3 linked regions of the Sus scrofa genome follow. The protein of the gene in region 1 interacts with the protein of each later gene in a pairwise test. Links are inferred from orthologs where the notes say so. Each region holds a gene or a part of one and is shown in the gene's direction. Other genes may lie near its edges. The genes, in order: ZMYND19, TOX4 and KCTD13.

What was found.
Region 2: the proteins of ZMYND19 (region 1) and TOX4 interact in binary tests that used the Homo sapiens proteins (3 or more experiments, as listed by UniProt). The two-hybrid records come from large-scale screens. The link is inferred for Sus scrofa from reciprocal best matches to the Homo sapiens genes ZMYND19 and TOX4.
Region 3: the proteins of ZMYND19 (region 1) and KCTD13 interact in binary tests that used the Homo sapiens proteins (3 or more experiments, as listed by UniProt). The two-hybrid records come from large-scale screens. The link is inferred for Sus scrofa from reciprocal best matches to the Homo sapiens genes ZMYND19 and KCTD13.

What each region holds. Positions count from the first base shown.
Region 1 is NW_018084833.1:414,944-418,477, forward strand, and holds the end of ZMYND19 (zinc finger MYND domain-containing protein 19), read left to right. Parts: intron 1-1,951; coding exon 1,952-2,132; intron 2,133-2,361; coding exon 2,362-2,505; 3' UTR 2,506-2,903; downstream 2,904-3,534. UniProt on the Homo sapiens protein: May be involved as a regulatory molecule in GPR24/MCH-R1 signaling.
Region 2 is NC_010449.5:77,685,394-77,689,042, reverse strand, and holds part of TOX4 (TOX high mobility group box family member 4), read left to right. Parts: intron 1-717; coding exon 718-978; intron 979-1,318; coding exon 1,319-1,549; intron 1,550-3,649. UniProt on the Homo sapiens protein: Transcription factor that modulates cell fate reprogramming from the somatic state to the pluripotent and neuronal fate. In liver, controls the expression of hormone-regulated gluconeogenic genes such as G6PC1 and PCK1.
Region 3 is NC_010445.4:18,127,973-18,131,621, reverse strand, and holds part of KCTD13 (BTB/POZ domain-containing adapter for CUL3-mediated RhoA degradation protein 1), read left to right. Parts: intron 1-2,741; coding exon 2,742-2,831; intron 2,832-2,922; coding exon 2,923-2,975; intron 2,976-3,649. UniProt on the Homo sapiens protein: Substrate-specific adapter of a BCR (BTB-CUL3-RBX1) E3 ubiquitin-protein ligase complex required for synaptic transmission.

The sequences.
Region 1 (3,534 bases):
AACAGCTCTTCCGAGTCCCTGCTTTTGCTTCTCTCAGTGTGTGCCCCGAAGTGGAACTGCTGAGCCGTGTGATGGCTGTGTGTTTAGTGTTTGGAGGAGCCCCCGTGCTGCTTTCCCAGGCATCTGCACTGTTTCACTTCCCTCCGGCGGTGCAGAGGCTCCAGTGTCTCCACATCCTCGCCAACACTTGCTTTCTGTTCAGTTGCTAGTAGCCATCTCCTGAGTGTCGGGTGGTCTCATTGGGGAGTTTTTTTTACTGTGTTTTGGTTATGCGGTGGCACGTGGAAGTTTCGAGGCCAGGGATCAAACCCACGCCACAGCAGTGACCTGAGCCACAGCAGTGATGATGGCAGATCCTCAGTCCCTGTGCCACCGGGGAACGCCCCATAGTTTTGACCTGCATTTGACTGATGATCAGTGATGCTGAGCATTTTTTTCTTTTTTGGCCGCTGCGCAGCACATGGAGCTCCTAGGCCAGGATCAGGTCTGAGCTGCAACTCTGGCAACCCACTGTGCCGGGCCAGGGATTGAACCTGTGTCCTAGTGCTGCAGAGATGCTCCAATCCTGGTGCACTATGTGGGAATTCCTACCCATTTTTACTTATTTATTTATTTATTTGCCACACCTGCAGCATGCAGAAGTTTCGGGGCCAGGGATAGAACCTGTGCTACAGCAGTGACAACACCGGATCCACGGTGCCACCAGGAAACTTTTAGGTTTTAATTGAGTTGTAGAGTTCTTTATATATTCTAGACTTGAGTCTCTCATCAGCTAGATGATGTGCAGATGATTCCCCCCTCCCATTGTGTAGGTCGCCTTTTCAGCCTATTGGTTGCCTTTTTTTTTTTTTTTTTTTTTTTTAAAGGGCTGCACCTGCGACATGAAAGTTCCCTACACCACAGCCACAGCAATGCCAGATCCAAGCCGTGTCTGCAGCCTGCACCACAGCTCACAGCAACGCTGGATCCTTAACCCACAGAGTGAGGCCAGGGACCAAACCTGCATCCTCGTGGATCCTAGTTGGGTTCGTTAACCACTGAGCCATGAAGGGAACTCCTTTGATTGCCTTTCGATACACAGAACTTTTGGATTTTTCACGGACTCCTTGTGTCTACTTTTTCTTTCCTTGCTGTGCCTTTGGTGTCATATCCAAGATCATTGCCAAAGCCGACGTCATGAAGCTTTGTCTGATGTTTCTGAGTGTTTTATAGTTGGAGTCTTTGTTAGGTCCTCAGTCTATTCTGAGTTCATTTTTGTATGCGATGTTCGAAGAGGGCGACCCTTCCTTTTTAACCAGGTCCCTCCAGGCTTGGCCACCAGGGAGGGTGGGCAGGGGATGGTTCACCCGGTCCTTGGCCATCACGGTGCGGGTGCTGCTTCCTTGGAAGGCCAGCTGCTCCCTCCCTGGGGTTTGCCCCCCTCTCCTGTACCTGTTGCGAGGCCTGTGCAGGCACCTCAGTTTGAGCATCAGGCAGAGTTTTTCGGTTGTGACCTTCGAGCTCCTCCAGCAAGATGCACGGTTAGATGTAGAGCCGCACGCGGCACCGAAGCAGAGGCGGCTTAGCCAGGTGCAGAGGCCAGTGCTCTTGCGGCCACCAGCAGGGAGAGAGGCTGCCTGGCCTTGCTCAGGGGGCGCAGGCTTGGCTGGGCCTGGGGCTGAGACCACATGATCTACATACCTGTTGTGTGCCTGGCTGTCCGAGGGGTGGGGGTGATTGACCAGCGAGGCAGACACAGCCCTGCCCTGTACCTTTTTGCGGTTGAGGTTACAGAGAAGTAAGTCCCGGCGTCGGGGTGGGCCAGAGGAAGGTCGGGCTGCCAATCAGAATGTGGGGGAGGCATCCTGAGATGAGCAAGCCTCTTGTCCATCCCTGGAGTCAGTCCTTGTCACCTCCGTGCCTCAGCTCTTTCTGGCCAAAGAGTACTGACGCGTCTGCCTCTCTCTTTAAGGGAGCAAAGCTTATACTGGCTCGCGATTCAGCAGCTTCCCACGGACCCCATAGAGGAGCAGTTCCCTGTCCTGAACGTGACCCGGTACTACAATGCCAACGGGGACGTGGTGGAAGAGGAGGAGACGTCCTGTACCTACTACGAGTGCCATTACCCTCCCTGCACGATGATTGAGAAGCAGGTGCGCTGCAGCTGGCTCCGGCCGCCCCAGCCCTGCCCGGGGTCTGGTCCCTACAGACCCCAGGCCTCTCCTAGAGCTGCCCTTTTGCAGCTTCCCGGCTGTGGTGGCTGTCCCTTTGTCGCCGCCTGACCGGGGCCCAGGCCCTTCCACCCAGTGCAGGGGTTGCCGGGTCCTCGCGTAGTCTGTGCCCCACAGCCGACTCCCCAGCGTGACCTGTGTGTCCTTTCAGCTCCGGGAGTTCAACATCTGTGGGCGCTGCCAGGTGGCGCGCTACTGTGGCTCCCAGTGCCAGCAGAAGGACTGGCCCGCGCACAAGAAGCACTGTCGGGAGAAGAAGCGCCCCTTCCAGCACGAGCTTGAGCCGGAGCGATGACCGATGACCGGGCAGCAGAGCCGCCTCAGGCCCGAGATGCCGCGGTGTCTGGATCTCCGCGGGGAGGTGTGGACCAGGCTGATGGCTGGACCAGAGCTACTGGAGGAGCCGCCCAGCCCCGCCCCCGCGCCACTGGCCCCGCCCCCGCCCCGCCCCCGCGCTCGCCTGGAGCTGGAGCAGAGACCGCTGGGAGGCTCCGCAGGGACAGTTCTCATTATTTATATGTTAATATGTTTGTAAACTCATGTACAGTTTTTCTGGGGGGAGGCCGTGGCAGGGTTAGAAATTACAAATAGTGTCATTTGCTGTAACACTCAAATTCTCCGGGTAGCCGGGTCGAGGAGGGCGGCCTGCCTGGGACCTGGCACAAGGCAAAGTAAAGGGTGGGACACCCGGGACCCTGACTGTGCCCTTCTCTGCTCGCCTCCTCCCCGGTCGTCCGTGGACGTGGGTGTGGCTGGAGCCTGTGCTGTGGCCAGGCCTGGGGGTGGCTGCCGAGGTCGGCACTCTTCTCAGCCACCACTGGTGCCCTCTCGCTTTGACTCAAGAAGCGCGGGCGTCGGGGCTCAAGGTGGGGCCTCTGCCAACAGCTTTGCTGTTTCCTGGCCTGGGCCGTGGCCCCCAGGCCAGGCCTCCCTCTCCTTCCTGGAAGCCACAGAACACTGAGCACTGGGCAGCATCTTGTACACCTTGCATGGCCATCTGGGGGCCAAGAGCCAGGCTGTATGGACTGGAACTTACAGGTTTGCAGGGAGAGTGAAGGCTGGGCATGCCAGCTGTGGTCATCCATCGAGGGCCATGCCAGGCACCACGTGGGTCCCGCAGGCCCCTGCCACACTTCCCCTTTTGCAGCTCTTCTGCCATCTTCAGAATCCCCTGTGTGTTCTTGCTTCCCTGGCTGAGGCCAGCCCCCTTGGTAGCCTGTGGTCCATGAGCTGAGCTTTTGGTAGTTTCTGCAGAGCTTGGAGTCCTCCTGGGGAACAGGCTGGCGAAACAGGAGACAGCAACATGCCAGGAGCTGGAGGGGAG
Region 2 (3,649 bases), on another chromosome or scaffold:
CACATCCTAGGATTCAAATGTGAGAGTGAGTGGCCTTGGTGATAGTGGTGAGCATAGCTGCCTTGCAAATGTAAGTGTGATAGCTGCCATGTTAAGGGATGGATTCAAATATGTTTGGGAGGTCCCTTGTGGCGCAGAGGGTTAAGGATCCAGCATTGTCACTGCAGTGGCTCGGGTTGCTGCTGTGGCACAGATTTGATCCCTGGGCTGGGACTTTCCACATGCCACAGGCTCCCAAAACAAAAACTGTCTTCTAGCACATTCCATCAGTGGTACATCACACACTCTGCTCGATGTCAAACATCTCTAACATTGGCCTTATTTACTCTGATTGCTTGTGTATTGCAACTTTTTAACAGCCACTGTTTTAGGAAGGTACAGGGGGGGAATTTTTCTTTACCCTGAGTATCATCACTATCCCCAAATTACTGAGTAATTTACTTGCTCTTTAAATTAACATTTCCAAAATTAAGACTGCTTTGGTTACTTTTGGTTATTTTGATACAGCCCTTTGTGTACAAAGAAGTGACTTTAGTAATTTCTGTATTTTATTAAAAAGCTTAGTATGTCTTATATGTATATAAATTATTTGATGTTTAAACGGTGATACATCTTGGGTAAGCAGAGAGTTTATGAACTGTCCTGAATTTGGGTGGGGGGGGGAGAGTGGTGTCTTTTATATTTAGTGTTTATAATTAGTCCTTCTGCTTCTCTCAGGACTTGGATCATTCTATAGGAACTCAGTATAGCGCCAACCCACCTGTTACAATTGATGTACCAATGACAGACATGACATCTGGCTTGATGGGGCATAGCCAGTTGACCACCATTGATCAGTCAGAACTGAGTTCTCAACTTGGTTTGAGCTTAGGGGGTGGCACCATCCTGCCACCTGCCCAGTCACCTGAGGATCGTCTTTCAACCACCCCTTCACCTACTAGTTCACTTCATGAGGATGGTGTTGAGGAATTCCGGAGGGTGAGGCATTCCCTGCCAAAATCAAATCTGCCATGTTATTCTGGGAAACTCTTGCCCCACAGATTCTACTGAGTATTCTTTACTCCTGTCCTGCCATCTCCTTTGATCTTTTCTGGGTTTAGGGTCCCACCTCTCAACTTATAATTTACATTTCTCCTTCCAATCCCCATTCTTACTGGTCCTCACATACTTTACTAATATCTTAATCTTACTCCTTCTATTTTTAGCATTTCTGAAAATTCTATTCATGTGACTAATTTACCCCATTTAAAAGTCCATTTCTTAAGTTCTGCAGACACAATACTTCCCTTCTTCTTGTAATTTTCTTTTTCCCCTACAGCAACTTCCCAGCCAGAAGACAGTTGTGGTGGAAGCAGGGAAAAAGCAGAAGGCTCCAAAGAAGAGAAAAAAGAAAGATCCTAATGAACCTCAAAAACCAGTTTCAGCATATGCTTTGTTCTTTCGTGACACACAAGCTGCCATCAAGGGACAGAATCCCAATGCCACTTTTGGGGAGGTTTCAAAAATTGTGGCCTCCATGTGGGACAGTCTTGGAGAGGAGCAAAAGCAGGTGAGCAAATAATGAAGAACTAGGGGATAGTGAATACTCTAAGAAGCAAGGGGATAAAAACTAAGTTTTTAGAGTTCCCATTGTGGCACAGTGGAATCGAATCCGACTAGGAACCATGAGATTTCGGGTTCAATCCCTGGCCTCACTCAGTGGGTTAAGGATCCGGTGTTGCTGTGAGCTGTGGTGTAGGTCACAGACGAGGCTCGGATCCTGCATTGCTGTGGCTGTGGCGTAGGCTGGCAGCTACAGCTTCAATTTGACCTTTATCCTGGGAATCTCCATATGCCTCGGGTGTGGCCCAAAAAAGCAAAAGTTTTAACTTTTTTACAAATTCTTATTTGATATAAACTCTTTGTTAATGGCATTCAAGATCATTCTTTGTCTTAAAAGTTGTAGCCATACATGGAATCCAGAATACCCATCTAAAAATTATTAATTAGTAAAATAATTTAGTATGATAATTAGTTATTATAAAAACACTAAATCCAACTTTTTTTTTTCTGCAGTCCATTTTATTTTATTTTTTTTTTCCCACTGTATTTTTTTTTTTTGTTTTAAATCCAACTTTTCTAAGCCCTTTCTTTTCCATCTGTAAAATTAGGCTATGCTTCGGTAGGTTGCATGCTATAGTTAACTATAAAATCCATAACCAGGAGTTCCCTGGTAGCACAGTGGGTTAAGGACCCAGCCTTGTCACTAATGTGGTGAGGGTTCCATCCCATCCTAGGAAATTCCACATGCTGCAGGGGCAGCCAAAAAAAATAAAATCTACAACTGGAGTTCCCACTGTGGCTTAATGGGGGCTGTGGCATCTCTGCAGCACCAGGTTGCAGGTTTGATCCCCAGCTGGACACAGTTGGTTAAGGACCTGGTGTTATAGTCGCAGTGTTTATCACAGCTGTAGCTCAGATCTTATGGGCCTGGGAATTCCATAAACTACAAGCAGTCAAGAAAAAAAGGTATTAAAAAATAAAATCTACAACCAAGTTTGGATTTACATTTTTTTGATTGGCATCATATAAACTTGAAAAATATCATTTGGAGTTCCTGTCGTGGCGCAGTGGTTAACGAATCCAACTAGGAACCATGAGGTTGCAGGTTCGATCCCTGCCCTTGCTCAGTGGGTTAACGATCCGGCGTTACCGTGAGCTGTGGTGTAGGTTGCAGACGCAGCTCGGATCCCGAGTTGCTGTGGCTCTGGCATAGGCCAGTGGCTATAGCTCCGATTGGACCCCTAGTTTGGGAACCTCCATATACCGTGGGAGCGGCCCAAGAAATAGCAAAAAAAAAAAAAAAAAAAAAAAAAAAAAAAAATCATTAATTTCCCTAAATGTAATCTGGATTAAACGAATGAAAATTATGATACTATGTAAGATATAATTGAAATTGAATGGTTTTAATTATCATTACCCTAAAACTCCCCAGGTCTTATGTCACAGTGAGTTGTTAATCATTAAAACAAAAAACTGGAAGTTCCCACTGTGGCTCACTGGGATCTGCATCTCTGCAGCCCCAGGATGCAGGTTTGATCCCTGGCCTGGCACAGTGGGTTAAAGGATCTGGCATATCTGCAGCTGCGGCATAGGTCATAAGGGCAGCTCAGATCTGATCCCTGGCCTGCAAACTCCATGTGGGGCAAGGCACCAAAAAAAGAAAAAAAAAACAAAACAAAAAAAACCTGAATTTATTCTACAATAAATTTATTCTACAAAATTTATATCAGTTACCTACTTCTCAAGTAAATTTAATGGCTTAAGACAGTAGCAATTTATTATTTCTTACGATTCTACAAATTGGTTGGGTGGTTTTCTTGGTGTTTTTGCCTCATATCTACAGTTGTACTCAAATGGTAGCTAATATTTGATAGCTGGTCAAGATGACCTAGCTCCCACATCTGGCAGTTGGTGCTACCTATTGTCAAAAATGCCTTGGTTCTCTGTCATCCTCCAGTAGGCTAGACTGACTTCTTTACACTATGGCAGACTTAAAATAATGTTCCAAGAGAATAAAAACTGATGCCCCCAACATCTTTGTGTCAGTTCAACCACACCCTAATGGTTAAAGCAACTCACAGCTAGCCCAAATTCAAAGGAAGGGGAC
Region 3 (3,649 bases), on another chromosome or scaffold:
GATCCGGCGTTGCCGTGAGCTGTGGTGTAAGTTGTAGATGGGGCTCGGATCCCGTGTTGCTGTGGCTCTGGCGGAGGCTGGCAGCTACAGCTCCAATTCGACCCCTAGCCTGGGAACCTCCATATGCCCTGGGAGTGGCCCAAGAAATGACGAAAGAAAGAAAAGAAATCTAAAGAAACTATGGAGCTGCAAATATGGACTGTCTTTCATGGAGAAGGAAAGATGGCTCAGGTCTAGAGAATGATTCCTGGACAGGATTAGACATCAGCGAGCTCCCAACCTTTGTCCAACTGGATTATCGAATTTCTATGAAGGAACTTTGACTTCTCTGCTTCCTGCTGCCCCCCTTGACCTTTTGAACGAGAGTGGTTATCCCAATGCCTGGTCCACCAGTGCATACTGAGAGTGTGGATGAGATAACAAGTCTCTTGAGTTCACAGGTCTTCAGATCCAGAGGAAATGTACTTAAGGAGCTGTAGTTAAGAGCTACTCCCAAGGAGCAGCATCCCTACCTAGACCTGATTTAGATGACGAGATTCTGTACTTAGTGCTGTAATGGGATGGGACTTTGGAGGATCTTGGGAGAAGGTGAGTGTGTTTTGCATATGCAAACAGTATGAATCAATGGGAGCCAGAAAGTGGACTAGGGCACCAGCCTCCAAGGGAGTCCCCAGTTATCCCTGTTTCCTTGTGGTGTTCCCTCCCACACTGAATAGGGCTAGCAAAACTAGATCATAAAAGACAATAAGAGTCCTCTTGTGGCTCAGAGGGTTAAGGATCCGGCATCGTCAGTGCTGTGGCTCCAGGAGCTGGATTCACTCCCTGGCTCAGGAACTTCCACATGCCACAGGGGTGGCCAAAAAAAGAAACAACAACAAAAACCAGTAAGGTCTCCATCTTGCTCTGTCTTGGATTATTTGCTCTGGAGAAGCCAGCTGCCATATTGTGAGGACACTCAAACAACCCTATGGAAAGGCCTCAGTGACAGGGATCAAATATTTCCTGCTGACAGCCAGCGTGCATTTACCAGTCATATGAATAAGCTTTCTCAGAAACAAATTCTCCAGACCCAGACGTGCCTTCAGATTACTGCAGCCTCAGCCGACTTGACACTAAGCTCATGAGAGACCCCATGCCAAAAGCACTCAGCTAAGCCACTCCTGAACTCCTAACCCACAGAAACAGAAAATAAGTATTTGTCATTGCTTTAAGCTGTTCAGTTTTGGGACAGTTTGTTACACAACAGTAACTAAGACACACTTGCCCCACTGATGTGTGATGTTCTCTCTATAAATACCAGTTCTCTTGTGTACACTAGTATGTTTCCAAGTTCTCTAGTGTGTTTTTTGTTGTTTTTGTTTGTTTGTTTGTTCCTGCACCAGAACTGCAGTGTTGTCATGATTATGGCTTTGTAAGATCTCTTCATATCTGGTAGAGTCAGTCTCTCTTGTTTGACTATTTTTAAAAATAGACGTGAGGAGTTCCTCTTGTGGCTTGGTGGGTTAAGAACCTGACATAGTGTCCATGAGGATGCAGGTTCAATCCCTGGCCTGGATCAGTGGGTTAAAGATCTGGCATCGCTGCAAGCTGTGGCGTAAGTCGCAGATGCAGCTAGGATCTAGTGTTGCTGTGGCTGAGGCATAGGCCTCAGCTGCAGCTCCAATTGTTGACCCCTAGCCTGGGAACCTCCATATGCCGCAGGTGGGGCTGTAAAAAGAAAAAAAAAATTAACCTAAGTAATGGTAGATTTATTCTTCCATATTAATTTTAGAAAGTCTTAGGAGTTTCCAAAAAAAAAAAAATCTTTTGGAGTTTATATTAGGATTGCACATCTAGAGAGCAATGGCAATTGTGGCTCAGCAAAAACAAATCTGGCTAGCATCCGTGAGGACACAGGTTCAATCCCTGGCCTCGCTCAGTGGGTTAAGGATCCAGCGTTGCCGTGAGCTGTGGTGTAGGTTGCAGACACGGCTTGGATCCTGTGTTACTGTGGCTGTGGTGTAGGCCAGCGGCTGCAGCTCCAATCTGACCCCTAGCCTGGGAACCTCCATATATATGCTTTGGGTGTAGCCATTAAAAAAAAAAAGACGAAAAAGAATTGCATATCTCATATCTCGGTTAGGCGAGGCAAGAGGGGTTTTGGCGTGAAGATTCTAAAAGAAGAGGAAAGAAACCTAGGTATCTAGTTCTGATTCTCCCTCCAACCTCCCAGGCAGCCTGGTTCACTCGTTCAACCGATAACTTATTGCGCATCCACTGTATACTAGCTACTTATTCCCTGGGAAGAGATCATAGCAAATACGCCAAGAAAAAACAAGGAAACATGAGGAACTACATGCCATGAAGGCGAACTGATCATGTGAAAAGGAAGCAGTAGAGGAGGCTGCTTAGCCAGGGAGCTTAGGGAGGAGGACCAGCACCCTCCTAGGGATCCTGTTTGAGTTGGGATCTAAATGGCATGAGAGGGGCCAGCCATGCAAACAACTGAGTGCAGACCGTGCCAGGCAGTGGGAGCAGCAAAGGGCCCAGTGGACACAAGCTGGATGTGTGAAGGGACAGGTGAGGCCGAAGCCCAGCAGGCAAGGGAGCCTGGTAGAGAGGAGACCAGCGTTGGCATCCCGCAGAGCCCTGTGGACCACTAAGGAGTCTGGACTTTTTCCCGAAGGCAACAAGCAGCTTTGGAAGTAGGGGAGTGAGTGCCCCTTGGTCGTGCTGTTAATCACCTTCCGCTTCTTCTCCAGCAAAAAAGGGAGAACGTGTCCCCGCTGTGCCTCATCCCCACGGTGACATCTCCCCGGGAGGAGCAGCAGCTCCTGGCCAGCACCTCCAAGGTGAGGCCCCTGAGCCCTGTCAGGGTGGAGGCTGGGGGCCTGTCCCTGCAGCCTGACCCCCCACCCTTCTCCATCCTCTCTCCCCCGACAGCCCGTGGTGAAGCTCCTGCACAACCGCAGTAACAACAAGTACTCCTACACCAGGTGACCGTGGGGGCGGGGAGGTGCAGTGGGTGGAATCCTGGGCTCAGCCCTGCTCCCGACCCAGGGGGAGGGTTACAACCACACAGAGGGACGAAAAGGTTCCTGCCCGGATGCAAACTCCAGCTCTGCCGCTTACCCACCGGGTACTTGGGACAGGTCATTTTGGTTTGCGTTTGCCGAGTTCCTTTTACTTCTTTTAATCCTTCTGAGCTTCGGCTTTATCTTCAGTTAACTGGGGTCCAGGTAAGGATTAGATGACAATAACTCACATTTCCTAGTGCTTAGTTTATACCAGGCATGAGTTGAAGTATAGCTCTCCCTATATTTATTCACAAAACCCTCACGGTTGTCAGGAGATTTCATGATCTCCATTTTACAGGTGAGCCAATTGAGGCACCAAGAAGTGAAGTAACTGGCTTCGCGTCACTCCATTAAAAAGTGGTGGAGCTAGGATGCCAGGTGAGGCAGCGTGGCTCCAGAGCCTGCCTCAGTAGCCACTCTGCCGTGCTGGCCTTTGCTCAGCAAATGCTGCTGCTTCCTTTGTGAAGCCTGCTTAGCCGGGCCCCAAGGCCAGAGGAAGCTGCTGGGCCCCGAACTCGCAGGCAGGACTCGAGTGCTGGGTATCTGGGCCCCTGTGCTGGGAGGAGCAGAGGGAGGAGAGAAGCCAGTTTTGC